Linked DNA regions of Drosophila melanogaster. The protein of the gene in region 3 purifies or fractionates together with the protein of the main gene of each other region. This does not show direct contact. Each region holds a gene or a part of one and is shown on either strand. Other genes may lie near its edges. The genes, in order: na, unc79 and unc80.

Evidence for each region.
Region 1: the proteins of unc80 (region 3) and na purify together in Drosophila melanogaster (affinity purification with western blotting, with the first as the bait; one study listed by BioGRID). This does not show direct contact.
Region 2: the proteins of unc80 (region 3) and unc79 purify together in Drosophila melanogaster (affinity purification with western blotting, with the first as the bait; one study listed by BioGRID). This does not show direct contact.

Annotation. Positions count from the first base shown.
Region 1 is NC_004354.4:14,262,164-14,272,964, reverse strand, and holds the start of na (narrow abdomen), read right to left. Parts: upstream 6,599-10,801; 5' UTR 6,257-6,598; intron 5,359-6,256; 5' UTR 5,313-5,358; coding exon 4,062-5,312; intron 4,007-4,061; coding exon 3,894-4,006; intron 3,833-3,893; coding exon 3,722-3,832; intron 3,658-3,721; coding exon 3,514-3,657; intron 3,423-3,513; coding exon 1,893-3,422; intron 1,820-1,892; coding exon 1,688-1,819; intron 1,618-1,687; coding exon 1,252-1,617; intron 1,169-1,251; coding exon 418-1,168; intron 339-417; coding exon 39-338; intron 1-38. Other genes in the region: CG13404 (uncharacterized protein), read left to right, coding at 6,786-6,875, 6,936-7,176, 7,264-7,397; Tat (tyrosine aminotransferase), read right to left, coding at 8,227-8,574, 8,641-8,934, 9,001-9,515.
Region 2 is NT_033777.3:19,240,947-19,251,867, forward strand, and holds the start of unc79 (uncoordinated 79), read right to left. Parts: upstream 5,185-10,921; 5' UTR 5,092-5,184; intron 4,900-5,091; 5' UTR 4,846-4,899; coding exon 4,791-4,845; intron 4,726-4,790; coding exon 4,606-4,725; intron 4,470-4,605; coding exon 4,308-4,469; intron 4,255-4,307; coding exon 4,084-4,254; intron 4,019-4,083; coding exon 3,743-4,018; intron 3,683-3,742; coding exon 2,984-3,682; intron 2,933-2,983; coding exon 2,270-2,932; intron 2,214-2,269; coding exon 1,942-2,213; intron 1,878-1,941; coding exon 1,776-1,877; intron 1,724-1,775; coding exon 1,579-1,723; coding exon of another isoform or gene 1,412-1,578; exon of another isoform or gene 765-1,411; coding exon 708-764; exon of another isoform or gene 674-707; intron 1-673. Other genes in the region: CG5217 (uncharacterized protein), read right to left, coding at 6,323-6,732, 6,844-7,081.
Region 3 is NT_033777.3:27,656,665-27,667,408, reverse strand, and holds the start of unc80 (uncoordinated 80), read right to left. Parts: upstream 4,971-10,744; 5' UTR 4,912-4,970; intron 4,223-4,911; 5' UTR 4,214-4,222; coding exon 3,968-4,213; intron 3,313-3,967; coding exon 3,286-3,312; intron 2,994-3,285; coding exon 2,973-2,993; intron 2,917-2,972; coding exon 2,584-2,916; intron 2,529-2,583; coding exon 2,229-2,528; intron 2,172-2,228; coding exon 2,034-2,171; intron 1,981-2,033; coding exon 1,667-1,980; intron 1,610-1,666; coding exon 1,410-1,609; intron 1,346-1,409; coding exon 1,164-1,345; intron 983-1,163; coding exon 870-982; intron 625-869; coding exon 607-624; intron 310-606; coding exon 165-309; intron 45-164; coding exon 1-44. Other genes in the region: Mlc1 (myosin alkali light chain 1), read left to right, coding at 7,297-7,299, 7,453-7,480, 8,488-8,793, 8,854-8,940, 9,296-9,339. UniProt on the Drosophila melanogaster protein: Component of the na (narrow abdomen) sodium channel complex. In the circadian clock neurons it functions with na and unc79 to promote circadian rhythmicity.

The DNA.
Region 1 (10,801 bases), on a different chromosome or scaffold from region 3:
CGTGATTCCTTTGACCACTGAAATGCCCAGGTACAAACCGTGATGCTGAGCAGCATACTATTGATCAGGACCACCACGGCGATGACCCTCTTAAAGATGATGTGCTGAGTGATGTCGTAGGTGAAGGCACGAATCTTTCGGCCATCGGGTCTGGGTGGCAGATGAAGCGGCTGAGCGATCTTCAGACGCTTCTTGAGGTCACACCAACGCCTCTGGTCGACGGTCAGCAGGGCAGTGCCCTTGTTCTCCGAATAATTGGCAATGACCACGCCGACGAACAAAGTCAGACCGATCATACAGCCCAAGAATATATAGATGTGAATATAGACGGCATGTACCTGTAAAGTAAAATATTTAGAATTACAAGATATTCTATTATAGCCATCATTTCGGATACATATGTATTGTCCAACTCACCGGACCCACGGCCTTGATCAGAACATCGCGCACGTCCAGCCATCCCTTGAATGAGAGCACCTCGAACAGCGTCAGCATGGCATCTCCAATGTTATCGAAGTTGAAACGCCTTGGATTGGCCCACACTCGCGGCACCAGCATTGCCGGATATGACTCATCCGGACCCGGGGTCAACTTCATTTTGGTCACAAAAACACGTCGCATAAACACACCGACACAATCCTCCCGCCGCGAGATCGTTGGATCATTGCAGCGGGCCAAGCGACCGCCGTACAACTGGACACCGTAGCTGGCGAAGATGAACATTAGGAGAATGAGCAGCGTGGATACGAGCAGGATCTCCTTGAAGCCGCGGCACAACTCGTACACCACCTTTCGCATATGGGGCACCAGGGTGAAGATTCGCAGCGGTCGCACGCAGCGCAGGATCATCAGGAGCTGGGCCGCCGAGTTGGTTGGTATATTCAGGGGCATCCAGCACAAGAACGACGTGGACACCACATAGATGAACACATCCAGTGCGGCGGCCACATCCTTGATATAAGCCTTTGGCGTAAAGAAAAGGCCATCGGCCAGAATCTTCAGCGCCAGCTCTAGGCTCATGAAAATAACGAACCCGTACTCGGCGATCTGCAGCGTCGGATGATCCATCACCCGATAATTGGGTGTCTCAAACATCATCGAGATGCAGGAAAGCGTTGTCGCGAATATCATCACCCAGTCCAGATAGGTGACCAGACCGAGAAAGTTGCTGTAAAGGATTAAAGTTTATATGCTTGCAAGCAATGTTTAAATAAGTCAATCCTCCAATTCGGAGATGGGTGCTCCACTTACTGCAGGCTTTTATACTGGACCTTGCGCTCCTTGCCGGTCAGCGGATCCTTGAGTCGGGCATCGTAGCGGGCATGCACGATCTTTTGGCAAATCTTCCGGAAGCGACTCTCGCGCGGCACCAGAAAGAGCGGTGTATCGAAGAATGGATGATTCTCGCGCAGATCCTCCTCCCGTTGATTGCGCCGCATCTCCGCCTGCTGCCGCTTCGCCTGCAGCAACTTGATGTCCAGATCGTGGGGACGTGCACGTCCAGAATTGGCACGTGGCGCGGCAGCAATGTCACCATTCTCCATAAGATGCTCGTACGTTTGCTTCAGCTTGATGGAACCGGAGCGCACGCTGCGACGGATGGAGCGGGAGCCAAACCTGCGAATTGGTAGTGGACACACATCAAACGGGTCGCGCCGCCTCGGTGGGGCAGGGCCCAGCTACTCACTTCTTTTGGTCAACGCGCCACGGTTTCGAGTGTGTGATGGTACCCTGCGACTTCAATCCACCGCCGCCCTTCGTCCCAACCACGGGCAACATGGCCGAATCGCCCAGCATCAGGCGTTGGTTGTTGCTGTCACTACGGGATTAGAGAAATTGATGCCATTAGTTTGCAGGGATCTCATGGATCAGCTAAATATGTCAAATCTTACTTAATGATATGCGTGATGGCCAATTTGCGCAGACTACTCCCGGCGGCCCGGACTTTGGCCGTCTTGTTCATGATCCGGACGGGCTTCTGCTTGCGAAAGACCACATTAGACTCCCAGCACTCGGACATGGGTCGCTTGCAGTTCTCGACCAGCGAGTCCTCCGTCTCAAGCTCGATGACGAAGTGCTTCATAAAGCTCTCGCGCACTTTGGGCAGCATAAAATCATTGGGGATGCGATGCAAAATGGTCATCTGTGGTGAATCGGGAAACTTTTCGAAGATGCGCAGGCGAAAGGGCAGCGTCTCCTTGATTTCGGCGCTCTGTTCTCGGAACTTAAGCTGCTTGAGCTTCTTGATATCCTCGTCCAGTTCCAAATTGTCCAAAATGACCGCCACGAACAGACTGAGCACGATGAGGGTGACGAACAGATGGTATAGTATAAAATAGACGGCCACCAGCGGCGTGAGAGTTTTGCTCGTACGGATCATTGTCTCATCCATCACCTCAACCCAGGCCTCCTGGGTGAGAATCTGAAACATGCTCATGAAGGCTTCGGGGAAGGATTCGAACTTAGTGAAATCGCAGAGGAAGCAAAACAGCTGCATTGAGATGCTCGAGCTGATGATCAGCAGGCACATGGTGAAGATGATCAGTGAGCCGAGTTTCTTGCCCGGTCCGAAAATCTTGTAAACGAATCCCTCCAGCATCGGTGAGGCCTTGATCAGTCGCACCACCCGTAGCACCTGGAAATAGGTCAGCCCGGAGGGATAGAACATCGGTACGATGTGCAACGTAGTTCCGGCGGCCAGGAGCAGTTCGAACTTATGAATGGAATGCTTGTAGTATCCACGCCAGCCCAAGCAATAGATCTTGAAAAGGGTCTCCAGGTCCAGCAGGCAGGTGAAGACCAGCTCGATGTAGTAGTACCGCTCGTAGAACACATCCCTCGGTCGTCCATCGTGCTTGAAGGTCATTGTGGCCGTCACAATGCCATTGGCCAGGATAACGCTCATCACTAGCATGCGAAAGTATGGTGATCTCAGGATCGCATGACACGTTTCCGGCGCCAATCCGCCGTGCTTGTTGTCATCGATGGTCACTAGTCGCCAGCCGGTATCGTTGCCACTCAGGATCTGCGATGCGGCCGTCTTCTGGATGTGACCTCGCGCCCCCCACATCTGTTGGAACTGCACACGGATCTCGTTGAAGGTCTCCGTGATCACCGCTATGAACACGTTCTTCACCAGCCACGCCAGGAAGAAGATCATCGTGCTGAAGTAGAAGGCGGCACGCCATGCCGGCAGTGAATCGATGGCCCGGTACATGATGAACACCCAACCCTCCTGTGAGGCTGCCTGATAAACCGTAAAGATACTAGTCGCAATATCCTCGAAACCATTGAATCCGATCACATAGCTGCTCAGAAAGTCCATTTTCATGCAAACCATGCCCGGCGAGCACTGGTAACCGGAGTCGGGATCCATCGAGCAGAACGTATCCGGAATGGCCAGTGAATTGATGGTCAGAATTCTGAAAATGAATTCTTATTAATTAACTGACCATGTTCTATTGGGATTTAACTGGGTTCTAACATTTCTCATTTGAATTTCTGTTAACTTACGGTCTTTTGTATAGATCGTACTCCGTATTATTCATTACACAATGGTTTTTTAGTTCGCCAAAGAACTGAACTCCTAGCAAACCATATAGGGACATGAAGAACAGGAAGAACAGTGTCACATTGTAAATTTGCTGGCTCGAACGTCTGTAAATCAAAGTTGATGATATAGTATAGCTGATGATGTTGTTAAAGTTTACAAGATACATACTTGAAGATTTGATTAATACGACTTTTTGGCATACTGAATTTAAGGAAGACGCGTAGGAAGCGGATCATGATCAAGGGTCTTGGTGCTCTCATAATGGATAAATAGGAAAACCTATATATTATATATTATATTGTTAGAATCGAATTATTATAACTATGGGGCGTCCACTTACTTTGGTACTATCTCCAGCACTTCGAAGATTTGCAGAATGATCGAAATCCACAGGAAGCTGACCATGGAAGCATCGAATTGGCACCAGTGATCTTTTAAATAAGGCACCTCACCCTGCAAAAGAGTATCGATGAAGTAGATGGCATTTCTCTCAGTGCACCAGACTCACATGCAACACGCCACGGATGTGCATCTTGGCGATCATCTCGGCGGTGAAGAGCAGCGTAACAGCCGTGTCCGATGCAAAGGTGATGAACTGCAGCGACGGATAACGCTCGAAGGTCTTGGGCGTGTTCAGTGATACGGAGGTCAGTGAGACGAGGGCACACAGTCGCATTAGGCGGCGCACCCACAGCTTGTTCACCCACTCGATGTCGGCGCTCTCGTTGAGCGATTCCTCCGGTCCGTAATCCGCGAGGAAAGGTTCGCCGCCCTTGAGGCTCTGCTTCCGGCCCAGCATGATCTTGTTGCCAATTCCGGTGGCAATGCCCAGCCCAATGGGCGGCACTCCGGTGATGGCTGCACTGCCCACGGTGCTGCTAATGCCGCCACATATGCCCATGCCGGCGGCAGCTGCTCCGCCGCCCATGCCACCCATGCCGCCCAGTCCGCCGAGCAGATTGAGACCACCTCCGCCGCCACCAACGACCGGTCCCAGCCCGGCACCATTGTTGTGGCCACCGCCCGAAGATGGAGCCGCCGTCGCCGATGAGCCACCGCCTCCTCCGCCGGCCAACGACTGCTGCTGCTGTTGCGGCTGCATTCCGAAGGCGACGCTGCTGCCGCCGCCGCTGCCGCTACCGGAGTTCACAATGGTCGTCGGACTGTTGAGCGCACTGGCCGCATCCTGGCGAGCGCCCAGTCCCAGTCCGTTGCCAGGACTGCTACCCGGCGATGGATTGAAGCTAAACTGGCTGGCGGACGCCGGCTGCGAGTGTCGCAGGTGTGGATACGAATGCGGATGCCCGTGCGGATGTGGATGCGGATGGTGCGAGTGCGGCGGCGCGTGATGATGCGTATGCTGCTGATGGTGTGCGTAGTGATGCCCGTGATGGGACTGATGGTGTGGATGCTGCTGCTGTTGCTGCTGCTGCGGCGTCAAGCTGTTGCCGCTGGAGGAACTGGTGCTGGCCGTCGCCGGCGTGTTGATGCCGCTCGTGGAATACGGATGCGAATGGTGGTGGTGCTGGTGGTGGCCACCACTGCCGCTGGATCCGCTGGCCGCTGTTGCTGACGCTCCAGTGATCGGTCCTGTTCCCGCCGCTCCAGCCGCTCCCGGTACCGCCCCTGCTCCTCCTCCTCCTCCTCCTCCGCCGGCGCCGCCGCTGCCTACTGCTCCGCCTCCAGCTCCGCCTCCGCCTCCTGCGCGTTTGTTTCTAGCAGCTGCACCCAAGCGACGAATCTGTAGGCGGTCAATCATTCAAGCGGCGCATCCTGACCCTGAAACGGTCGCTAAGTTATGCCTGCTGTGTGGAGAGGGGGCATATTAGTTAGTTACTTGACTAGATCAGTTAGAAGTAAACTTAACCGCCAAACTGCTGTCATATTTCAACATTACTAAGATTATTCTTAAGTTTTGAAGGGTAAATATATTGAATTATAAATTACATGTACAATATATATTATGTTTCATGTTCTCTACGTATTAGTATTTAGCACCTCCATGTTTCCAAGGATGCCCTCCACCAACTAGGCGGCAATTAGAGCCAAGACCTTTGTCAATATTTACATTCGAACAGCTGCCAAGGTGGGCTGAAGGTGCAGCACTCAAACCCACTCACACAGGCACTGAGTGCACTGCGTAAAAAAAATATTTAAAATAGCTCAAAGTGTTATATTATAAAGTAATAAAATATATATGCAAATGAATCAATCAATAGACAGACATTTCAATTCATTAGTTGCATATCCTGTGATATGTAATTTATAATCTTTAGCCTGTTTTACCCAATTTTTCAAATCCACAGGCCAAGTTTATTGATCTGCTTTTGTTTTGAGTGTATCGTTTGCATCAACTTTTTGTATAGGAATTTCAACAAAGATCTTCGAGAGCAACCAAAATTTGTTTCTGTGTGAATCAAGACAGTCAGCTCGGATGGCGGATGGCACTTGCAACCCCCGAATGAGCAACCACTTCTCGCCGTATATGCGTAGATATGTGTACTATACGACCCAGTCCCATCCCCACTGGCGAATCCATTGTCATTACCAAAGGAGCAGTAACCAAAAGCAGCCATGCCCACTCCAATTCAAAGCGAATTCAGTGGGCAAAACTCAAATCAGTACGATTTGTGTAAAGGTATTTTGCCTTTTTTTTTACCTTGTCTCTTTAACTAACACATTATCTACACATAGCCTACTCACTTTTCGCCTGATGGAGCGGCTGCTGGTGGATGGTTAACTTTTGATGGCGAAGATTCGCGCAATTTTTATCACAGAGTCCACATAAATGGATTGCACTGGGGAGACTATTGAAATCTAAGAATATATCCGGTTGCCGCACTTTCCGGTTTTCCAAATCTGTGCGGGAAGGAAAACGCGTTTTTTTTTCTTTCAACACCAAACACGCGCCGAGGTCCTCGTAAAAGAGTCCTTTTTCTTTGTTTTTTTTTTTTTTCTTGTATGTTTTTTTTTCGGACGCGGAGACTTGGAGTTACGGCCACTCAGTCTGTTTAGTCAGGCAGTGCTCCAGTCAGCCAACTGAACTGACAGCTCCACTGGGCCGTCACTTTGAATGGCTCTGGTTCCAAGTCGAGCAACCCCCAAAAATGGACGACGCCTGCGCACTTTCGCGGGTCGATTCGGTTACCAGTGTCGGAGTGGCAACTCCGCGCGGAGTGGCCAACAAGCGACCACGGCGATTTCAACAAATCCGAGCAGCAATCGCATCGAAATGGGTGCCACGGCCTCGTGCAAGAAAACCTCCGGCAGTGGCTATCCGGAGCACGATGATCCCAGCTATCGCAAGTGCCAGGAGCTCAAGGTGAGTCCACCGCTTTATATAATCCCCAAAACCCCGCATGACCAAAGCGACCGCACTCAGATGGAGCGCTGGATCCAGATGCACTACCAGATCAAGCAGCGGGAACAGGCACTGGCCATTGCCCACCATCGGGAGCTCTTCTACTGGCTGAGCGGATTCTACCTGAGTGCTGTGTACGGCTGCGCCAGTTACTACCAGAGGGTCAGGAGGGTATCCGCGCTGGCTCCGCTCCTGCCGCTCACCTTCGTCGTGGGTTACTATACGGACTGGGCGTACGGCAGCAAGATGCATCGCATTCAAGGTGGGTCTGGGATAGGATTGTTTGATTAAGTGCCATTAGAAGGATGATATCTTATACAAACCTATCCGATGATTACATCAATTGTAGCGGAGGCGAACATGATTATGGAACACGAGCAGGAGCTGCTCCACTGGCCAGGTGGTCTGCCCACTGTTGCCGGAATCGATGAGGCCCGCGTGGAGACCGAAATGGAGAAGAAAATGCATCCGCACCACATGTAGAGGCAAAAGGATGCCCCTCTCCCGGTTAGCCTGTAGGTGGGATTGGGTTCTCGTGCTCAGGTCCTCGTTCAAAAACACACACACACTCCACAATCAACAGGATTTGTCCCAGAGTTTCAGAAATTTGTAAGACCCCTTAGCTAGAATTTAATATATATTTTTTTTTTTTTGGCATTAACAGTGCTGTTGAATGCTGAAATGTGGGGACCATTCAATTACACTTCACAACACTCAACAGCATTCTAATTACGTTTCACAGCCCATTAAGCAACATTTTAAAATTTCTTACAACGAATATACATACAAATATCATTCATTACACACATCTAAATCCAATTTATGCGAAAATGTTCAGCATTTTTAAATTGAAATCACACGTTAGATAAAGGCTGCCAGAAAATTTATTTGAAACTAATAGAAATAATTGTAACTAGCAAGAAGGCATCATCATATCATATCCTGTTCCAAAGGAGCACTACTTTCACCAAGTTTAACATTTTTTGCACAGAACCCCAGCCAGCCTACAGCGCCAGATAGCTCAAATATAGGCCTATATATATATATATAAATTTATATTATATATATTTATATTCAGAAGTCCTCCATAATGACCATTTACTTAGCCGCAGTTTACTCGCTCTTTCTAAACTCTATCTATCTGTGTGTGACGCGCTTTACTTTTCCAGCAATTTTTTGAGACAATACTCCTTATATTGGATAGTTAAAATGATTGATATATATATATATATAGTATATATACATACATACACTTATGTACACTTGATAAAAATTGTAGTCTAGAATATCTAATAAATGTTTTGCTCCCAGCTCAAAAGGCCACATCATCGCAGTCGAGCAGTCCGTGCTCAATGAAATTGCGCGACTCCTTTTTGTAGTGGCGATCGCAGAACTCGGCAATCCTGGAGCACGCCTCCTCGATCATTGCCCCGGGCACAGTAAGTACGATCCGCACGTATCCCGGGTACTCAAAGCAGCTGCCCGGCAGACAGAAGACACTCTGCTCATTCACCATCTCCTGGACAAAGTGGGTGTCGTCCTTGAATTCCGGGAAGCGTTCGATGCTCACGCCTATCATCATGTACATGGCTCCATTGGGCATTACGGGATCGAGGCCACGCACCTGTTTCAGCATCTTGTAGGCCAGCATGGCATTCGACTGTGGGATAAAAATAATCATATAATAATTATCCATTAAGCTGATAATTACAAATGATAAACTTACGTGGAGCACATCAATCACGCCGTCAAAATAAGACTGCGGTGTCTTGGTCAGGATATCGGGCAGGGCACCCTGAATGATGGTATTGGAGCCCAGAATGCGACCACACATGTTCTTTAGACCGACAATGGCATCGCGCAAACGATTCTTGCGATCGTGCACTATGATCCAACCCATTCGCCAACCGGGAACCAGGAAGCGTTTGGTCAACCCGCCACAGGAGAGAACTGGAACCTCCGTGGTCAGGCTGCTCACGGCCAAGTGCTTGGAGCCGGGGAACACAAAGTGCTCATAGATCTGCAACGAAAGCAAAGGCAATTCAATTCAATTATTTCATGTGTGCTCGATTTAAGGGTCACTCACCTCATCGGCAATGATGGGCAGATAGTGGCGTTCGCAGATGGCTATCAACTCGCGCAGATGCTTCTCATCGAAGACGCTGCCACAGGGATTGCTCGGATTGTTGATCAAAAGGGCGGCGGTGTTCTCATCGATCAGGCTCTCTAGCTGAACGAGATCGGCGCGCCACTGCTGATCGGGCAGAAGATCGTAGTAGCGCACCTCGATATCCAAGCCCTGGGCCAGCGTATAGTACAAACAGAAACCCGGTCGCGGCACCAGAACATTCTGACCACGATCCGCCAGCGCCAGGATGCAGTACTCCAAGGCGGAGGAGCAGCCGCTGCACAGCACCACCTCGTTGGCATCGATCTCTCCGTCGGGACGCTGGTGGGCACTGTATTTGGCCACCGCTTTGCGGGCTATCTCGTGACCCTGGGTGCTGGCATACCCATTGTACTTGCCGCTCTCCAGGGAATGCAGCACCGCCTTCATTGTCTCATCGGCGGCTTTTAGATTGCCAAAGGTTGTGGGATCACCTGGTTGAGAAAAGCAAGTTTCAAAATGCATTTAAAATATATAATCTATAATATAAAATAACCTTTAAGCTAATAAAATAATACAGAAAATATTCCATCAGTGAATTGCCTAATTTATGGAATAAAGTGCATTTATTTTTGGAAACGGAATGCAAAATGGTGTTAAAAAAATAAAAATCAGGCGACTTCGCATCCGAATCTCTGATTGCATTGGGTCAATGGCTAACTCGTTCGTTTCCGGCTAACTTCGATTCCCGATTCCGATGGCTAAGCAAGCAGCAGCAGTATAATCTGGCTCAGATCCCGAGTTCGATTCCATTCCATTCGATTCGATTCGATTCGAATGGATTCTCGACTTTGTCAAACAGGTGGAACTACATTTTATGCAAATGCCCCACAAAACACAAATACAGTGCGCGTGCCTCGCTACAAAAATAATACGATATTACTAAAAACAAAACAAAAAAAAAACAATTAAATTATATACAAGAACAAGAACAACAACAATCGAAACAACAACAGCTTTACAGATTTTATATATCTGGTATCTGGCATATTTTAGCACAAATTTAGAAACTCGCGACAATCGGCAAAATTAGCTTCTCTGTAAATTTCCTAAGCCAGAAAGCCAGTAAGCCCGAATTCCCATTGAGCTCTAACATTTCAGGGAAGTCCAATGTCCCAACTTATATAACGACTTATAAGCATTATAGCCGAAGCACCGATCTCTGATTGGCCCGATTTTGTGGGTGTGTATGACCAATGGATCGCTTTAGTTCACAATGAAACCGAATTCATTGGGTTCATAAAGCTAGTTTTATCAAGTTTGGGACAACTCAGCTGCCAAAAATAAAAAAAAAACTAAGATATAAATATATATATATATATATTTATAAAACGGCAAGAGCAAAAGAGATCGCACATCAGAAATATTCAAATTTGGCCCAAAAACTTGTAGCAAAAACGTCAGAGGTGTTATGGGGATATGGTGAAATGAGGAGCAGGTTTCCCACGAAACTGGATAGTTAGCACTACCTGCTCAAATATTTTTCTATAATTTGCAAATTTTGGATATTTCAAATCATTGCTTTTAGCCACTATTAAAGGCGTACTTTTCAGATTAATGCATATATAGTAAATAGAAGGCGAAATCCTGATAATGTAAATATACATTATACATACATGCTAAATGCATAGCATACTTCTGAGAATTCTGAAGAGGAAAAGCTTTTAAGATAGATTTTTCAAACACATATGTAAGTTCTGCGTCAAAGGAAATTCAAGAA
Region 2 (10,921 bases), 8.4 Mb from region 3:
TTTGGCATTCACAAATCAACCATGCATACGTATAGAAATCCTACAAGTGTCATTCGGATAGTTAGAAAATAAGTGTATCGATGAAAGAATCTCATGCAGGGTTTTTTTTTTTTGAGCAAGTGATGTACATTACTGCCAATCGTGTCGGGTACTACGCGTGGATTATTCGTATCCGGTTTTGAAATATATTCAGAACCAACGGAAGGATTTAAACTAGGCACTCGTACTGCCAACCGAAAATCAAAGATAGTGTAAAATTCGTGTGGCTTCAGTGCATCTGTGGTGTTGGATTAAAAACTCGCAGTTTGTGTTTCATTTTTGGGAGGAACACTATAGCCGAACCGAAAGGATATCGATCGATCGATTGTTGCATAACAGAACTGAACTCTCTAGGGGCGGGCGGTCAATCTACGGAGGTCAACTAGATATAATTAAAGCTTGGATATTCTAAATCATATACTCTAGTAACGCTAAACAGAGATAGAGAGAGTGGTGTGGCGTGTGTTTGTGGAGACAAAGTTAAGTTGGTTAGAGTGATCGAGCGGAACTATTGTTGTCTTTTTCTGTTGGTTGGTTTGTTTGAGTGAAGTAACGAAATGTTTCAACAAATGCTTCATAATGTAATGTAAATTTGTTATTTGTATTTTTGATTTTTGTTTTTTTTTTTTTTTTTGTAACGAATGAAAAATTTTCTTGTGGTGCATCACCTGCCATTATAATAATTTTTCCATCGTCTGAAAAGAATTGATCTAGCTTAAAGATATCTGATAATGATTGATAGATTTTAAATTTAGTACGGTATTAGTTTTGTAGTATTTCATGAGTAGATATTAGTTGTAGATTATTTTTGGGCATAGACGAGAAGTTTTGGAGTGTGAGAGAGACAGACAGTTTCGTACGCGCGGAAGAGGGTGCGATCGAGCGAGAGAGAGAGAGATAGCGTTAGTTATGTTATTTTTGTACAGGCAGACGCGGAGTAGAATATGTTAGAGATAGAGAGAGAGAAACAAATATACATATTTATGTAGAGAGAGATAGCAAGATAGACAAATAGTTATGGCTTAAAAGATAATGTACGGATGAGATCGGGATGACGGTAATGTAATTTCACGAATGATCGTTTAGATGGCTGTTAATTCATACTGCTGAGATTGTTTGATTTAGTCTGAGGATTGTTTATTTGGGTCAAGTTGGTAGTTGTTTACAAGGCATAGCAGTGCAGGTTTCTAGTTGTAGGTTGAAACAAAGTTCGGTTTGCGTTTTAACGTGGGTTTTAGGCTAAGTTAGGTTGTTTATAGGGACGCTCGACGGGCGAGTCGCCATTCCATACCATTCACCCAAAAAATTGTATAATATTTTATATAGACCAGGCTCAAGTACTGTCTACATTTAGCTACTTTTTGGTGACGTTTCACTGCTTTACTGTTACGGTGGTTAGTTTATTTATAAGTGGGTAGGTTTTGGGTTGGTTTTGGAAAAGAAACTTTGTTGGGACTTTATAGACTTTATGATACAACGGGGGTTCGTTTAAGGGTCTTGAAGTAAAGGGGGAAATGCGTTGAAAAGCCTGGAGCGTACCTGCAAATCCTCCTAAAGGTCCCAGCGGAATGGGTAGTGGAGCCATCGAGAGGGAAACATCTCGATCACGGGTCTTTTCCTTGTCGGATTCGGGTGGAGATTTGCGCGAGGACTTTTCTTCCTCAATGATGTCCTCGATGGGAACCTGGAAGATCACTCATAAGAAGGTTAAGCTTCTAGTTAAGACGACGATTTACATCTGGTGGCCGGACTGGATTCAATGGGGCCATGAACTGGACCAACTTGGTAGCTAGCTGATGCCACATGATGGATGCCTCGCAGTAAGCACACTCTGCCACCTAATAAATTGATTTATTCGTTAAATTTTATGGGATTAATTGAGTTAAAACACGATTTACTCACCTTTAAGGCGCAGACATGACTACTGAGACCCACTCGAGCTGCAGTGACCATGCACTTGATCAGCCTGGAGACGTTCTCGCAGACACTCGTATGGATGCCCATGTGCTGCTCCACGTCCTGTAGTTCCATTTGCTTCAGAAGTATGTCCAGCATGAGGATGCAACAGGTGAGATTGTGCTCAGCATCCGTGGAGAATTCCGTGTGACGATTCGTGGGCGCCTCGTCATCCGAAATGGCAGACGTATTACCAGAGTCATCCTCGACAACAGGAGCTATTGAAAGAATGTATTATACTTAGTGATAAAATGTTAGTGGAAGGCATATTCACAAATAGAGCTACGCCTGGGCGGATTGGCCATATCCGCTTTGGTCTCCTTGCTCTCTTTACACGGGGTCTTGGGAGCCTTGGCCAGGGACTGAGATTGGGCATCCTTCTCGCGCATCAGCTCGTGCTGGATGCCGTATTTCATTATGCGAACACCATCGCCGAACATGGCGAACAACTGGACCAGTGGAATGAGAATCTCCAGCTTGGTGAGGATCTGCAGCCAGTGGAGTGCCTGCTGCTGCACCTTTGCCGTTGTCTTCTCAAATCGAATGGCCACAAAGTTGTACATGGTTTTGGCATCAAAGCCCAGAGGCGACATTTCCGGATCGAGGATCTTGCTGAGCACAATCTTCAGCTCGTTCAGTTCCTTCTCGGCCACGTCGTTGGTGATGGCCTCCATCCAGTGCGGCATCACATAGTCCCAAATTTCGGAAGTGATAACCTCATATGGCACCAGGCATATAAGCCGCTGAAGACCCTCTTTCAAGTGGCTTGTTCGCGACGCCAAGGTCTCCCAGTGGCCTCCAACACGGGCATACTCCGGGGGATGTGGCAGCAGGCAGGATATGAAAACGTTGTAGTGTATGCGGCAGATGTCTTTCAGCCAGTTGCAAACGTGATCCACTTTGAGCTTCTCAATGGTACTTTCCACTTGTCCGGCAGCTGAAAACAAATGTTGATGGTTGATGGTAAAAATAATTCATCTTAACATACCATCGTATGAGTAAGCGGTTACATGAAACCAGTGGAAGAGCATGCTCAGAATCCTGCCCAGAACTTCTACGGGAGTATCTGCAGTGGGTGTACAGCGACCCACCAGTAGCCAGATACCATAGCGTCCCAGTCTCTGGCGTTCCTCCAGAGAAATATTGTCAGCTGTGATGCCGGAGCCGTTCTTTTTGGACTCGGACGACGAGGACTCCTTGCCGGGCTCAAAGTTTAGTGGCTTCGCCTCTCGCAGAAGGCTTACCACCGACTCCACCATGTGCATCTGCATCTCTGGATCCATCTGCCAGGCGGGCTGCAGACTGCGATGGACCACGTGATCGCCACCTCGCCGGGAATTGTGCCTATTACTGTGGCACTGGCTGCAGTAGCGGATCGGATGGTTGCCATTGAAGCTGGCACACTCCGTGGAGAAGCAGATGGAGAAGGCGGACTTCTCGTTGGAGCGACAGTTCTTGTTTTCGCACACCATCGATACCTGCTGCATGGGATGCAGAATGTCGCCGAACTCCAGGCTTCCGTGCTCCCGATGAATCTCGTTGGCGCACTCGATGCACAGGTAAAGGGGCGGTGGACAATCGGGCGCGTATGCGATGCTAATGCTGTGGTCGTAGCACACCTTTGCTGCCTCCGCATTCCCGGAGTTCGGACAGTGCTCCCGTTGGCAGGTGAAGGGCACTAGGTCATCTATTCGGGATTAGAAGGATGAGGTAAGATAATAGGAGTAATCATATGAAATAAACTCACTGGTTAGTTTGGAGAGTAGGACTTTGCGATCGAACAGATTGGCGTTAAAGGCTGGCCAGTAGTAGAAGAGCAGCTTGGCAGCCGAGGTGCGGGAAACAGCGGTTCCGTATGCCACAACGCAGAGGATGTCCTTGACGACATTGTGCTTAAGAGTCATCAGGCACTCCAGGAGCTGGCAATGATGCGCTGGATTGTTGGAGTACTGGAGCACCATCATGATGACCGAGGACACTGATTGGCAGGCCTGACATTCCTGTTCGTCGGAGCTGCGACGAGCTAAAGATTGAAAATTAAAAATTATCAAATAGTTTCTTTAAACTAGGGAAGTAGTCACTACTCACTTATAGTAAAAGGCAAGATATAGTAGCATAGAGCATTGATGATGCATTGGTGCAACGCTGGTGGTAGTACTGATATAGTAGAGCTTACAAGATAGGGTAGATTATCGATAAGATCTTTGTCCAGAAAGGGAAGGATGCAGCTTAGGCACTGCAATAGAGCTTTTCCGAACACTGAAAATAAAATTAATTAGAATATTATGAGCATTAAGATGTCTTAAGCTCACCGATTTGGCCGTACTGGATGCAAGGTGCCACATCGATGAGCATTGTAAGAGCATTGTAGAGGTTGCCATATTCGAGATTGGGATAGGCAGACATGCGAGTGGGATCTTCAAGAGGATCGCGGATAAGCTCGTGCGGCGAAGTGCGCACATCCTTAAGGACAGCTGTAAATTTAAAGATATTTCCAATAAATTGGTGGCTTAGAAAATGCTAACAAGGCCAAAATAATAGGTAATAATACTATCAAGAGTTGGGACTGAGATAATTACATAGGTTACTCTAACCTCTATAGATACTTACTTAGTAGAGTTTGAGAAAAGTATTTGATATTGTTAGCAATATCGACGCCAGAGGGCGCAGGCAAGACGTTGTGCAGTAGACGAACGTGGTATTCATGAAGGGCTCTCAGTTTTGCCTGAACTGAAAGCAGAAAAAAAGGTCCTTTGAGCACCCTAGAAAGTTGAGACTTCTGTGGACAAACTTACAGGCGGCAGCGCGAGTGCCCATGTTGATGAGTTGCACCTTAAAGCTGCCAGTCATTATATCAGACAAATCCTTCGCATTGCCGAAACTGCTGCCGAGGGACTTCGCATTCTGCAATTAGGCAAAAAAGGATTGCATTTTGAAAACATTTAACATTTCACGCCCAGAATTGCGTAATGTATCGCCCAGAAAGATGCTGCCAGTGAAAAAGTGCTCAAGCGCACGAAATTTCATAGAAAACTCTGAATTTTCATACAATCCGGTTGCGAAACGAACTTAAGTTAATATTTTTGGTCAACTTACCTCGAAATTGGTTAGTTTTTTCAATAGATTTGCAATTTTTTACGGGTTTTACAGCAAGCTACGACCACGAAGAAAAATCTCTATAACTAAACTGAGTTTATGGTGTGTATCTGTGCAAGAATTTCGCTATCTGTTGGACGCCCCTTGACCCCCTCCTTACCAATTTGGCTTTTATACAGGCTTATACATACACTTTATCAAGCGGTTTAAGCTAGAATATATTTCAAATATATTTAATTATTAAATAGGCTATGTGATTTAGTATTTTTTGGCTTAAATGTAAGGGAATTTGAGGGAATTGAAGTTGTAGGGTAAGTTGACCCACTTTTACCACCCACCCTCGACAGCAGCCCCCAGAAACAGCTGTTCGGAAGTAGGACATGCGCATATCGCGTGTTTATCTCGCATTTGCCGCACTCACCGGTCGGCTTTCAACAAGTGCTTGTTTTGGTCTAGCCAATGTAAATATTTACTATTTTCAGTCGGGTCCGGAGTTTGCGCAGATTGTGCTCAATGTTGGTAAACATCGCCCAGCTGTTTATCCTGATATGCAACTGGTGTGTTTCAGATTTTCCAAAGTACTGACACGAGATAAGAAAACTACTCATTCTTGAGATATATCTATATCTACCTCTTTGGAACTGAGCCAAGAAATTTGCACTGGTATACTGATACTGAAATAAAGTTTAAAATAAAACTTTCTGCACCCTTATTCCTTAATAGCACACCTTCCAACAATTAAATACTCATTACGTGATTTAGTTAGCCAACTTTTGGGGGTGGCTCATCTTTAGGGCTTCCCTCGAAAGTGAAAACCTCAAATAATTCTCGGGCTTGTCTGGCTCATGCGGCACCTTTTAACCCCACTGTTTGCAACGCAAAACATGAAACTCGTTTAGGTAATCAAAACCCCCCAGTGAAGACGTTTTAACAACCGATTTAACTGAACTCTGTGACCCCTTAGACGAACAAAAACGGATGGATTTACCACAAAGGATGACATGACAACATACTGGGGTCTTGTATGTGTTTATTTCGTGAGCTCGGAATTATCATTTGTGGAATCAAAGCGAAAATGTTTGTTCTTGTATGTATGTCAGTTAGCAGGGATGTGTTTGAAGAGTATATATTGTGTAAGGTTGAATCAGCTCCCTAACTGATTTCTAAACCTTTGCCTCGAGATCGGTAGAGATACTAGACATCGGGTTTGATTAGTGTTAGTTGAAGACGGCTAAATGGAAGCCGCATTCTCGTGATCATTGGTAGACAGCTGGCCGCCCTCTAAGGCACTGACAATCTCCTGACCGGATGCCTTGCTGGCAACACTTTTGTTGGGCTTCGGGTTGGGTGGCTCCGGATCTGTGCCACGTTCCATTTCATCGTGCTCATCCTTGACTGTCGGCTGAGGATCGGTATCGGGATCTTGGCTTACTGGTTGCAGTTCATGGACTTCTTCAGACTCGTTATCCTCTTTATTGGCATTGGTCTGCCCTAAAGCTGCGTTTTGGCGCTGGCTCTTCTGCCGGTTGAACAGTATCTTCCAGTAGGATGAAATGGATGTCTTAATCGTGGGCTTTGCATTCGGCAACGGCTTATCCTGCTCCACGGGTTCGACCACCGAGCTCGAAGGATCTTGAACATCTGGCAAGTGGGGTTTATGATTATTCAAGAAGAGCTCCTTTTAATTGTAAGTCATTAGGCAATCATTTTTTTTTCAACAAATCATATTTAATACCAGTCAAAAGAGCTTACCCTTATTGGCTCCCTTCATCCGGGTAAAGAAGCGACTTATAGTGTTTGACTTTCCCAGGTCCTTGTTGTCCTGGGAGGATGTCTCGTCGTCATCCTCCACTTGGTCGCGCATCATTGGCTTCTTGCTGATCTTAAAGAAGCGCTTCAAGGAATTGGACTTTGGAGCGGGGGCCACCTCGGGACCTTCCACAGACAGGCCCTCGGGGTCGGCAAGCGGAATATCTTGCAGACTGGACATCTTCGTCCAATATGTCCACCGAAATTTTATCGAATTTTATTTACAATAAAATATGGCTCGGTTTTGTACGAAATATAAGATTAATGTGACTGGTGTTGTTGAATTGAACACCAGATGCAAAGTGTCAGAAAATCCAGAGTCAACTAGTTCTTGTCACCTTTTATGAAAAGTAGAATTCAGTTAAGTGAGTTTAAAAAGGATTTTACAGCCTTATAAGTTTGAGATTGGTACTTTACATATATATTGTAATTTTAACAACTCATGTAGATAAAAACAATATCAATTTCGATTTCTGCTGCCACGTTTTTTTGCATTTTCCTTGGCAATTTGGCTACGTTTGGTTAACATGTGTTAACAACGACATCGAAACAGGTTTCAAATTGATACGACTTTGATTTCATTTTCTCCCGCAATCGAACTGTTTCCCGGCCAGGACAAAGCCAAACTGGACTGAAGCCTGCAGCCCCAGAAAAAAGAGCTGAAATGAAAGCCAAAGGCAATTCATTCAATACGTGCACACAATACCCCTTGTTATGCTACTGCTGCTGCTGCCCCATTGTCTCAAATGTTCGAACTTCGAAGTCCGTCGTCCGTTGTCCGCCGTCCGCTGTCCAGTTAGTGCTGCAGTGTTCCGTTTCTGAGATGGGGCCCACCAACAAAGTGCTTTCGCAAAATCAATTGAAGAGCTGGTGGCGATTCCTGCTGTCGACACTGCGCCATCCCTACGTCTCTGGCCCGATCCCTTTCCGTGGTCCTGGTCCTGGAATCGAGGTCCGTTAATTTATGTAGTTATGTATTGCCGGTTGGTTGGCCAGGATACCCGAAACAATGGACAATTGCTGCGGCACTTGCAGCATGCTATTGTCTGGCGAAGGTGTTGAAATTCTGAAAAACAGATATACATTATCGTACCAATTTGAAAGCCATTAAAATTCATCAATTACTTACTATAAGAGTGCAATACCGTGCATCAGAAGAAGACCAACGAATGGTGAATGAAAACAACGTTTAAAACATTATACATGTATCTTGTTTAACGGTAGTAGATACTTCATATGTTTGCCCTTTAATTTGGCAGTTTTCATAACCCTTGAAGTGATTGCTCGTGTCCTTCATTTATTTATGTCCAACCCCCGATCTTTGATAAAAAGTTAATGAAAAAACCCCACGCCGCCAACAACAAAGGGACATCAATAAATCATCAGTAATAAAAGTATAAGGGAAATGAACAAGGATAATGCAAGGCAATCCTTTTGCCCGCCGCCAACAGCTGCTCACCCACTCCGCTGAAAAGTGTGAAAATGTCAGCGGCGACGGGGAGCTAACCCCAACTGCACCACCTCCCCCTCCGGCTATTATGCTCGCCCATTTGTAGAGTGGGCGCCATATAATGGCCAAAACGGAAATGTTGTTTGCAGCCAATTCATTGCCAACACACAGTTGCGAAACGGCAAATAACAAACAACAAACAGCATAAACACCCCCTGCAGGCTTACGCAGGAGCAACACCATCGCGCTGGATGGGAGTTGGTGGCGGCGCAGGGATCCAACTGTGGTGCAGTGTTGCGGTGGGGCAGTGGGAACAATGGCATCAGCAGCGGCAGAAACAGCAGAAGCTGCAACTGCAGACCGCAAAATGTGTTGCCACAACCCTCGGGGCAAACGAAGCTGGAGCAGGAGCCGCATCTCTTGGACCGGAGTTGTAGATGGAAACTCATAAGTTGGTCGTCTGGCAGACAAATCCTCGGAGCAAGTGCATTCATTCATTGGCAATAACAATCAAACTGCTGTTGGCAGTACACAATCCCTTTCCCTGCCCATCTCTGGATGCCATTCAACTTGTTTGCCCTGCTGCTGTTGCTGTTGTCGGCAGCACAAGCGAAAGCAACAACAACATGCTACATGCAACAGCAACAGCTATGGCAACCACAACGACGACGCCGTGCTGTTGACTTTAATATTTCGGTCTTCTTCGTTTATTACAATCCCACCGAAAGATCAAATAGTCTGAAATTCGACACAGATACCGGGAAATATCAGCTCTATGTGGGAAAGGTAAACCTTAACCAGTCACTCTTGGGAATCCGATAAAGGGGCCATAAATAGTACTATTTTCCCCCCTCCCCTACCATCAGGTTCTCAAGTTCAATTTGGCACTGCCGTTCGCCTTTATAGATTTACAATATTTACATAGTTGCATCGGAGTAGATAACACGGCGATAAAGAGTTCAATCGCATCGGTCTATTGGCCTGTGCGACGTCGCTTGGTGTTCAATCGCCGTTTGACTCTCGGTTTTTAAATAAATAATATTGTGTTATCATAGCAATAATCCATATCTGAGCGTATGTGCGTTTGTGTAATCATTGATTAAATAGTTTCTCGTTTACGATCTCACACTTTCACTTTATCGAACGCGCAGTGAAATGTGACTCAATCGGCGGTATCTTATTTGCGCGGAGTTAATCCTTCATTACATCTGGTCCTTGGGCGAGAGAATCTCCTCCAGACCAGTCACAACGTGGCCATGAAGTCCATCAATAATACAAGTGGCCATAAATCGGCGCCACTCCTCTCCTTCGAAATTGGTTAGATATCGACTGATGGCTATCAAGGGCGCCAGCGGCGACACAGAATGTCAACAGTTTAATAAATAAAATCAGTCAGCACCACCAGCCAGATGGGTTGCCAGCTCAGGCGCGCGACTGCAATTAAAGCAAAATAAAAAAAAAGACAGACAAAAAATGCCATCGAAAAGGGGCAAAGTCAAAGCCCAAGTGCGGCAAATGCCGTCTCGGATCACTCACATGTTGCTGCTGCTGCTGCTGCTGCCGCTGATGTTGCATGTGCCGTCGTGTGCGACAGGAGCTGATTGTCGCTGGTCCCAGATCGGAATCAGAATCAACGTCGGCATCGAAATCAGCGTCGACACATGCAATATTTGAGTCTCGACTGAGAATTATGATCGATTTATTATGCGACAACCAACGACGGCAGCAACAGCAGCAGCAGCATCAGCATCAACAACAGCAACATGGCCAAGTGGCTGTGACAGGTTTGGGCTCTTCGTCTCGGGTTCTTGGCCCACAGAATATGCGCAAGACATTGATTTTCGCCAGGTAATGAGGCAACTCATTAATCATTTTTTCGTTGCGCACTGGCTGGGGGATTATGTTGCTGTTGCAACAAGCACACCGCCAACTGGCAACCGGCAACCGGCAACGAGCAACGTGCAACAGTTGCTGCTGCCTCTGACGGAATGCTGGCAACATGTTGAGCGTGCAGCTGCAGCAGCAGCAGCAGCCGCTGCAGCCGCTTCTCCTTGCATCCTGGCTGGCTGTCTCCTCTTGTTCTCTGCTTGATTTTGTTAACCTTTTGACCATTTGAAGTTATTTTTGTATGCTTTACTGCCAATTTGGTGGTCATTGGCCATTCACTTGACTTGCGCCTGTTGCATGTCCGTTGTCTCTTGCCTGTCTGTTGCTGTTGTGCCGCAGTCGCCGTAGCTTTTGCTGTTGCTGTTGCGGTTGCTCTTTTTGGCACACAACGCACAATGTCTGACAGTTTGGCCGATTGCCTGGCCCCTGTTGCTATTCCTGTTGCCTTGATATTGCTCTTGGACTCGCCAATGTTGCTGTTGTCGCAGTCATCTCCTGGCTTGTGGCACACACACCGGTGATGCTCATCTGGCAGCAGGATGGATGCGCTCTGGTGGACCCACTGGATGCACTACAGCGGCGAAATGCAAGGCTACTTTCAGGGAGCTATAGATGATCACATTATATATAATAATGTAGCATTTATAGTAGACACCTTGTAGAACTATTGCCCAATCTTTAGGT
Region 3 (10,744 bases):
CTGCCGCCATTACTCAAGGCATCCAGCTGGGAGTCGATGGAGCCCTGTAGGAAAATTATTCGGTTTTTAGTCGTACTTCATTATCATATCTTGAGTGGGAACTCATTTTGCGAAGGACAAACTTTGTAGACCAAGTCGTAATCATAACAATGATAATGGCTCACCTGACGCTTCATGTAATCGGGCGAAGGTGTGGGCGTGTGCTCCGTAACCGTAATGATGGGATTCCGGGGATAGAAGGCCGTGGAACGCGGACAGGTGGCCTGCGATGGCCTTGGGGCCTTGGGTGGCTCAACGTATCTGTAAAATCTTGTATTTTGTAGGATACGTGCGAGAAAGCGTGTGTGTGGCATTAGTCAAAAAACGGCGTGCGGCAAGCTGTGGATTCATGGGTTATGGGGGGGGAGGGGGGTTTAGCCAGGTAAGAGCGGGGGGGTAAAAGGTGAGAAAAAAACAGGCTTGGACAGGCGCCAAAGGTTTAGCATACAAGAGGTGCTGAAAAGGGGGATAACCATCGTGGGCTTAGAGCACATAAAGCATAGAGTGTGGTTCTTGGAAATCGAAATACAAATCATTTGTCAGTTAGCTTGGTAGACCGAAACTCACCCGCTATCAAGCAGACAGCTGGTTGTTCATCGGAGAAAGTAGTACAAGGCATAGGTTATAGAAGATATAGCATTAGCATATAGCTCGAAAGCAAAGAATGAGTCTCTGAAGAGTGTGGAATTTCGAGAATCGTTTGGAAGTGTCACCTGTATATGGTATATATGGTGTATATGGCATATGTGTTCTTGGTACTGGTGTCAGAGGCCCGATTGAGAGTCAGTCGTATTCTTTGGATTTTGGCTAGCTCGGGGATTTAGATTTACCTGAGACTGGGCATAGATTTGCCCTTTATCAAGTTACTGGCTGGTTCGCGACTTATCATCGAGGCTGACCGAGATAGTTTCTTCTCACCCGTGTCCAGGCTGCGATGGTATTCCTATATGATATGATAGAACAATATTACTATCGATCAATATGAACATGCATTACATTTAGATAACATTAAACTCTCAAGCCAAACAAACACCATTTAGAATGTAACATTTATATGGGGATTATAAGCGGGCGCCAGGCAGAAACACTTAAGAACATTAAACATAGGTTTTTGCTCCGCTTACTGCATGTTGCAGTGGTGTCTTGCCATTGGCTGAGTTTGTGTCGAGCCCTACTTTTTCCAAATTCTTCTCCGACTTCGAGAACATCTTTGTTTCCACGAAAGCCCGAAGATCTGCCATCTTAACGCGTTTCTTCTTCTCACTGCCGCGTCTTTCCGTTGTGCTTGGCGCACTTTGAGGTTCTTCTAAAGATTTGGATAAAAGTTGAAATCAGAATGGGTAATGGAACCGGCAGAGCCTATAACACACCTGCTACACAGGCTGTCACCGTGGGCGATGGATCGGGTATTTCGATGTAATCCTTAACCACGGAACTGCCTGGACTATCCCGACTATTGCTGCCGGGTCCCTGGTACAGTGAAATCTCGATTTGCGGTATGGGCAAGGAATTCGAGCGCTTGCGAGGTTGATTCAAGGTGATGGCCGCCTCCTCACCAATGTCACTGAGTCTGAAATAGAAATGGCAATAAGGTCCGTTTTTTTAGTTAGTAATTTGAAGATCCTACCGATTGTATAGATACTGCAGGCTCCAGAAGATGCCCTCCTCCTGCCAATGGGAGATGAAGAGGCAGCGCAGCACAGCCACGTCCAGGAAAGTGGCTGCGGATACATCCGCCTTGATACTTTCCGACTTATCCGAGTCCGTCTCCTTTTCGATGGATGCACTCCGTTTCTCCTTCATAGATGCACCTCGCATCAGTTCCTGCTGATCGAACTCGAACTTGGTGGAGGGCACTTTATCCTTGTCCCGGGAGTTCATTGACTGGCGACTTCCTCGACGACTCTGGGATTGTTGCTGTTGCAACAGACTGGCATCGGCCTAATTGAGAAGATACTTTGGTGGTTTCTTACGGACATAGTTTAGGAACTAACCGTAAAGAATGAGTTATCCATTAGTTGTGGCGCCGAAGGTAACCTAAATATGACCACACGTTCATCCTCCACGCTGGAGGCTTCTTCTGGTATGGTTTCGGGAAAGGCGAACTCCTTGGGCGAAGAAACCCAGGAACCCTAGATCAAAGCAAAGTTAAAAATCAATCAATTTCTTTAGATTGGGTGCAAACAAACCTCCTCGTCCTGCCTTCCATAGTCTGAGATACCGCTCTGTGGCGAATCTGCCTTGGGTGACATGGCGTCCGCACTGAGTGAGTGCTTTCGGGCGGGAAAAACGTCCGTGGAACCTTTCGGAGTGGGTGCACACAGCAAGTTTCGAGCCTTGGGCTTAACGGGAGCTGTAAAGCATGGAGCTCCGGGTGCTCGATTGTCCCACATTCCCTGCCAGAGCTTAATGCCATTCTCCAGGCGAAAGTTTTGGAAATCCGATTCCTTTAGGTGGTGTATAATAGGTGCAAATAGGTACACAAAGAGCTGAAAGGGAGTGGTATTAAATAGGTATGTCTATATTAACTTGGTTTTAACATACCGTAATAGTTGGTACTGAAAACAAGTACTGATCAATGGACTTCGACTTTGGTTCCGCCGCATCTCCCAAGCCCAGATCCTCGCCGCCTTCATCATCGGCACATTCCTCGGCGGCGTACAGCAGGATCCACTGCATGGTGTATAGCAGCTTGGTCTCCACAGGACCAATGGCCTGCATATCCTTGACGCGATTGTAGAGCAGAGCGGCACAGGCGTGCATAACATGTGGCAGAGCTCCTTGCAAGAGGCGCCATCGGGGAATCACACCCAAGCCCTTCGTGAGAGGTGGTGACAGGCCGAACTGGATGTTCTGCACAAGCACTTTCTCAAAGGACTACAAAGCGGAGCTCATCAATATTAGACTAGAAACCTATTTAATCTTGCACTCACCTTGCAGGCTTCCTTTGACTCCTGAACATCGTAAGAATATGGTAAGAAATTGTTTAATTTATAATAAAACGTTTAAAGTAGATATGGTTTAAAGCTACCAAGATTACAGCAAAATAAAGGGGTCTTCAGACAAAAAATCAATCTTAAACATAGGCACATAAAACATTTAACATATACAATATAAAGGGAATCAAATTAAGCTTTTAACCTCAATATTACACATATATTCGTAATATGATTCTGGTTAAACATTGAGCCAACAAGCTTTGGAAAAATAAGGGGGTTATCGCTACTACAAACATTTATAACTTACATGGTGTCCCGGTGCATGTTGACAAAACTACATTCAGATTCAGACAAATTGCGAAAGATTTTACAATGTTAATTTGTACAGTTTGTCATTGTAGTTGTGATTTTAGTTGGGTTGTGTATAAAGCATACTGAATGTACTACACACAGGCGCAGGAAAAGTTTCCAAGCCTACATTAAGCTAGGCAAAAAGTGAAGCATACTTTTATGGGTGGGCAATAAAACTATGTTCTTATCGGTATGAAACTTTTCCTGGTAGCCTGGTGTAAATGGAAGACAGGTCTGTTGTTCAGTTTGTGAAGGAAGGTGGCCGTGTTAGTAGTTGTTAAAGAAAAATATAAATCGAATGCATAAAAGTATATAAAACATCAAACATCAAAGTTAGGTCTCAAATTTAGCTTCCGATTTTCCATGATTTTGGCAGAGTGAAATCAAAAGTAGAAGACATTGAACACAATTTCTGGGCTTCAATACGACGAATTGCTTGCGCCAATCTGAATGCCAATCGTTTTGGGTTTCGGTATGTTACACAGTCCATCCTTACAACAAACACGCATAGCGAATATACAGCACCCATTTGTGTGGGGGAAAAATGGTTCCTCACTTCTTGGCCATCTTAGCTCTTTTCGTTTTCTATCTTTGGCAATTGACTTAAATGCTGTTGGCATTTCACTGGCCAAACTCACCAGACAGGTAGACTCGTGCAGCTTGCCCAGCTTGGGCCGGATAAAGGGCGCTATTTGCCGCCATAGGAATGTTTGCACGGACACCGGCAAGCCGAGGTCCTGCAGTCCACTATCCTGGTCAAAGTCAAAGTCATCGTTGTTGTTGTTCGCCCCATGGCTGTTGTTGTTCGTCTGCAGGTTGTTGTTGTTGGTCGTGTTGCTTGTTGCTCCTCCCGTTGCGGCTGTCCCCGCGGCATTGGTCACCATGGTGGCCAGCTGGAATGGCACAAGGACACAAATCAAATGGCGTGCAACAGCTGGCTGAGCCGAGCCATTCATAAAACCAAGACGGGTTGGGGCATTAGCATATGTGCAACAGGTGTTTGCGTGCGCAGGCCCAACACGCTGCTCCTGTTGATTTCCAATTTGTTTTTCCCAGCGACTAGGTCAGTGCCATCATGGCACTCCCCCGCTGCCGAAAAAACCTACCAAGATTTCGGTCCTGGGACGCTGCGCAGAACGCAGACTCCGCATCAGCGGCGAGAACGAGGCGACTGGGTTATAGATACAGAACTGGGTTTCTGGTATACATGCTAATTTGGGGCAAAAATTTTCACAGACTTATATAACTCGAGCTGGGATTGTGGAAAATTTCACTTTTCCGCAATTAATCGCCGGTGGAACGATCAATTGTTTGGCACTTAGCACACACTCAAATCAAACGTGGCCAACGATTCGCTTGATTGGTGCCGCACCCAGTGGAAATGGCTTCACTTCAACCAACTGGGCTGGGCTCCTTGGACAGTCGTCACTAATTGCAGAACCTTTCATGGGCTGGCGACCGAACAGGGACACTGAAGCACTTTTTGTTTGATTTCAATTTGTGTATTTTTCCGTTTTTGCCCTTTTTTCTGTTGTCTAACGAGTAGTTTTTTTTTTTTTTTTTTAGTTCTGCAAGGGCTTACCTTGATTTGCGCGTTGCCAGTTTCGGATAACGTTTACGGCTGAAGCGTTCGGATGCAACTGAGACAAGCGTCGTTAACTGACGAGCTCTGAGCTCCCCGTCGTTGTTATCCTCTCAGCCGGCCGCGTCCTCCGTTTGCCATCGTTTCCAATGCCGACAGCAGCAGGCCAGCAGTGCGTATACAGGATATTTTGCCGAGAAACACACACAAACGCAGAGAGTCGTACAACCACCCGCACTCAGTATTAAGTATACGCACTGAATGGACGGGAAAAAAGGCTGCTCTCCGTGTAAGGGGTGTCCTTGCACTTGTTATGGCATGCCATAACACACTCTCCCATCGGGACACCCTGTTTGCGAAGCACACTTATCAATGATAACAAATGCCTGAGGATGGGCATTGCGTATACGCCGTGGGGTGGCCATTAGTACTCCTTTGTCTACGAGTCTTTGGGACTGCGACTGCGAATAAATAGTGTAGTATTAAAGTAGTAATGGCCAAAAATAAGTCACTGTCCCTTTCGGACTTGAGTGGAAATTAAATCCATAGCCTTTGTTCATTAATTAATCTTCTAGCTGATTAAGCACGCTTTATCCTTGCTAAGTTCTTGCCAAGTTCTTTCTGTATCTTATTTTAAGATAAGCATTTGAGATATATTTTAAATAACTTGATTACCAGCACAAAAAGCCCTTAGTGTAAATGTTGTTTACAGAAATGAGTTCTATAAATACAAGCACACAATTTCAGTCTCAAGGGGCTATTTATCAATGACTTGCGCACATTAATCTGCGCAGATTCGTGGCAACAATCGGCTGCTGATAGCAGATGTTCAATCAAGGACCAAATCGGCCTAAATACTCATGCACCAGTTACCCGCTTGACAACAGGTGGTGCCCCAAGGAGTAAACAATAACAAGGCCAGGGAGGCTGCGCGGCCAAAAGCCGAGCCGAGGACTCAATGGATTGAGAGATAGGACGAGACAGGACAGCCCAGAGAGTGGGTCTGATGAGCATCAGCCGGAAGTTGGGCACACAGCTGGGCTCAAAACTGGGTCAAAGAAGGACCTGTCCGATGGCACGAACATGGACGTGTGTACATCTACATTTACATAGAAAGTCAAGGACATGGGTGCATGGAAATGGATGTGCCGGCAAAGCCAATGGCCTGCTTGGCTTAATTGCCACTTCCTTGCCAGATTTGCCGCCTTTTAAGCACCTCGCTTACCCTTCAGGCTTGATCGGTCATTATATACCTACCACCCACCATTTGCCTATGCAAACAATTCGAGCATTTAGTTGTTGCTGTACATTTTTGCTCTGAATACGCTTCATGTATCTGTGTCATAGTTTTTATAAATAGCACGCATTAAAATGTTGTACAGGCGGCACACACAAGGCACAAGAAGGCGCCTGAGGGGCCAGTAATGCGCCTTCTATGTAGATGAGATGCCAACGAGGAATAGTATGCTTTTGGAGCATGTATAGTGTATAAATATTGAAAAAGGCTGGTGTTCAGGTGTTCTGGCAGCGGACAAACAAGAAATCGGCCATTTAACACCCCCACATACGACCGGCTGACAAAACATTTCGAATGATAACAGGCAAGACCTGAGAAATACGTACGTTTGCCAAAAAGACGATCAGGGTCGATGAGTGTATAAATATATACATGTATAGGCCACATTTATAGTACATAGCCCCATAGCCCCATCTAAACATCTAAACATACCCCGTAAAACCCCAGCATGGAAGCTCAATCTATTGCGCAGCGCTAAACAATCAATTCTCAAACCCATTCTCCTCCCGCCTGAATGAGAAAATATTATATTATCTGCAAAATCATCTGTAACATCGAATGATATTCAACACTATCCGGCTGGGAATGCCACAAGCGATTATTATTTTGCCTTCACGAACGAAATAAAAAGAAATATTCACAGAATAGCCGAAAAAAAACAAAATGCTTAAAAATAGCCCGGCTAGAGAGCGGACAACAAATGGCTCTGGCTCCATAGGAGAGCCTCCCAATATCTGGTGGTCGTTGGGATCCATGGGATCCCAAAAGAGAGTGGCATTCGAAAAAGTTCCCCCAAGATGAAAGTAAATTCTTGCCATCGCACATACTACAGCATATATTTTGGTGTGTGTATAGCCTTGCGCAGGAAAAGAGCGAGCGTTTCGTCATCCATTCGTATTCGTATTCGTTTTTGAATTCGTTTTCGAAGCTATAGCTGTAAATGTATCTGTATCTGTGTCTGAGTGCTCGGCGATCGGCTGGTTGGCTTTCACCTCAGAATTACCTTGCCGTACTGCCACTGACGAATAACGTTCAGTCGAGACCGAGCTCATCCGCGATACAGTTGATTTTCGCATCAAACAGACAAAATGGTGAGTGCCCAGTCGGCCAAGGAGTCTTCACACATCTTCCACCAATATCCAGTGATATAGATGTACATAAATATATGCAGCAGCTGAAAACTGAAGATTTTCCACACTCGAACTAATGCCAAACTCTCAAATCTTTTTCGATTCCGTTGACAGGCTGATGTTCCAAAGCGTGAAGTTGAAAGTAAGTTAAAACCCCGCACGAAAAGGATTATCTTTAACCTCAAACGAAATCCATCAAAGTTAAACCAACATATTAAATGAACGAGGTAACGGAAAACCCAGCAGAAAGGACTAAAAACAAGTATTATAATATCCATAAAAATACAGATTACATAATGTGCGCGTGTGAGATACACAACAAAAAGTACACAAAAGTCGGTGAACATATTTCGTAATCACTTGGAATATATCGCATACATATACGCATGCCTATATATATAACACTATGCGGAAAATTTTCATTAAGGAATGCTGTCGTCTATATGCATCGCCTGAGCTATTTTCATCGATCGACCATCCAAAACCAGAACGGATAAAGGTTGCCAACACAATTCCGGTAGAGAAAATCTAGTGCAAAGTTAAGTTTGATTTGCGTTATAGAAAAGCCGCGGAAAACAATGAAAATCGTGTGTGTATATGTCGCGAACCCGAACGCGCGATCCTCGTCTTCGAGCCGAAATGCTTCTCGTTTAGAGATCTAATTTTGGCCAAGTTATTTCTTTAGATTTATTTTCGATCAAACGCACAGCGAAAGAGATGAGCAAACTATGCGACTTTGTGTGTGTATATACGCCTATATACTGTGTATATAGCGCAGACGAGGGCGAAGGCGTTCGGTTCGGGTGTCGGATTACGTATACGTAGTGTGTTCTCGGGGCTGGCAACTCTCCCAGATCCGCACTCACGCATACACTCACACACTAAGTAGGCAATGCCCAGCAGCCATGTCAAGATTTTCATGATGACCAAAAATGTGCGTACCAGAAATTTCAGGGTTACCACATCGACCCCGTTTTCGAAAATAAAAAGGGTGGTCAACACCCACCTCTGCTAAAGTATTTTTAAAAACAATTAATGAGGCAGCATAATAAAATGAAACGAATAAAAACAAAAATTTGATGGGATTTACGTTTGATCGACTAACATGAACATGAAGATGTAAATGCTAATCGAGTTCCTTTTGCGCAGATGTCGAATTCGTTTTCGAAGTCATGGGCTCCCCCGGTGAGGGCATTGATGCCGTCGACCTAGGTGATGCCCTCCGCGCTCTGAACTTGAACCCCACCTTGGCGCTGATCGAGAAATTGGGCGGCACCAAGAAGCGCAACGAGAAGAAGATCAAGCTGGATGAGTTCCTGCCCATCTACTCACAGGTCAAGAAGGAGAAGGAGCAGGGCTGCTACGAGGACTTCATTGAGTGCTTGAAGCTCTACGACAAGGAGGAGAACGGCACCATGCTGCTGGCTGAGCTGCAGCACGCCCTGCTGGCGCTTGGTGAGTAATCAACATGCATATATCCTGGGATATCCCTCTAAATCATTGTGTGCATTACAGGTGAGAGCTTGGATGACGAGCAGGTGGAGACCCTGTTCGCTGACTGCATGGATCCCGAGGATGATGAAGGATTTATCCCCTACTCTCGTAAGTATTCGTTCAATGGACGATACTCATCTAATGTTTTTTGTGCATATACGATTTGTAAACGCCGTTTGTCTATTCCACATGTCACTCTTTGTCTGCGCACAAACCAAAAAAATCCCCACCATTCTGCACTGTGCACTTTGTACCACCAACTCGACCTGAAAAACACCAACAAACCTAAAAATATGTGTATGCGTGTATCCATGTTTGCGTGTCCATTCCTCCAACACTACACTCGCAAAAAAAAAAAAAAACCGACCAACTCCCGAATGTCAAACGTATGGTCTCTGCACGGTGATTGCGTCTTGTTTACCCGCCGTTTGTCGCCGATCCACTTGAAATTGAATGAAAACAGAGTTCGTCCAGCGCCTGATGAGCGATCCTGTCGTCTTCGACTAAACAGTAAGTAGGGATGGAGCCCATGGCCACTTCGCCGATCTCTGGATGTCTACTTGTCCAACAAATTTGGGGAATACCTTGCTAATATGGCCCTTTTCTTCGTCTACTCCACAGCATTCCTCGCCAGAATGTGTGACAGACCAGATCAGCTAAAATAGTTGAAAACAACAGCTTCAACAACAACCAACAAACAACAACAACAACAACAACAACACCAACAAACTTTTAGCGACAACCATTCTCCATAGATGTTATATTCATCGCTAACTCTCTCTATCTCTCTCGTATATTATTTTAATTAAAAATTACTTCTGCTACTACAACTGCAAAATTGAACTTCAAGATAATATTATTTTTTAAAAAATAAAAAAATTTAAATTATAAAATAACGAAAACAAAAAAACTGAAAAATATTCAAAGTTTTGTGCACATTATTTTGTTATGAATTATTTTGTTGGTTCAGCCAAAAGCAAAGCAATAGTTAATGATTATTTTATATGAGACGTGAATAAACCAAATAGCAAATAATATAATGTTTAGGCAAATTCAACATCCGAAAGCGTCCAAAAAGGGCAGTTAGCAAAACGCCAAATGTGTAAATTGTGGCCTTTTTGCGTTCTCAATTTACCAAGTGAATGTGTGAAAGTGAAATAAGTCAAATGTATTTAAATAAACACTAAGAATAATTGTGCGGCCGATGAGGTGTTGCACAATCAATATAAAAGAAGATCAGGGTGGTGGAAAATTTGGGATTATGCTATATAGGCAGCCAATATTAATACAAGATGTGGCTGACTTGTTTAATAAACTAAAAGTAATAGAGAAAGTTTAAAAATCTTATACTGAATCCACAAAGAAATATCTAGATATTTTCGCCGCAGACTGCAATACTTCAGCTGAGACACAAACCACCAACGAGAAGCAGGCGAAAGACTAAAATACCGTGTACTAAAATGTCGTTTTCGCTTTTTCTCAACGAGAGAGAGCTTTCGAAATGTTTGTTAAGCTTAGAGCTTGGTTAATATGGTTTTTGTCTCTACTTTCGTAATTATTATTTATTTATTATATTAAAATAGTAAGTGTAAGAAGGGGTGGAAATACCCGCATCCTGGTATCTACCTTCCTCGTCTAGTCAACAATAACAATTATAAACTAATCACAAAAATAGCTTGGGGGTTGAGATTCCGCTGAGCTTTTGCGTCGACGTCGAATCAAAAAAGTGTCAGAAAAGTTTCGGTTAAATACGACGACTACGAATCAGTTGAAATCGAGATAACAAACCGACAAGCCGACCGAGCGGGAGCTGTCTCGCTTTTTTTAAAAATTTGCACCAGCAAAAATCCAAATAAATTAGCAGAGTGCCAGTGAAGTAAGTGAGCGTGAGTGCGCCAAGTCAAAATATAAA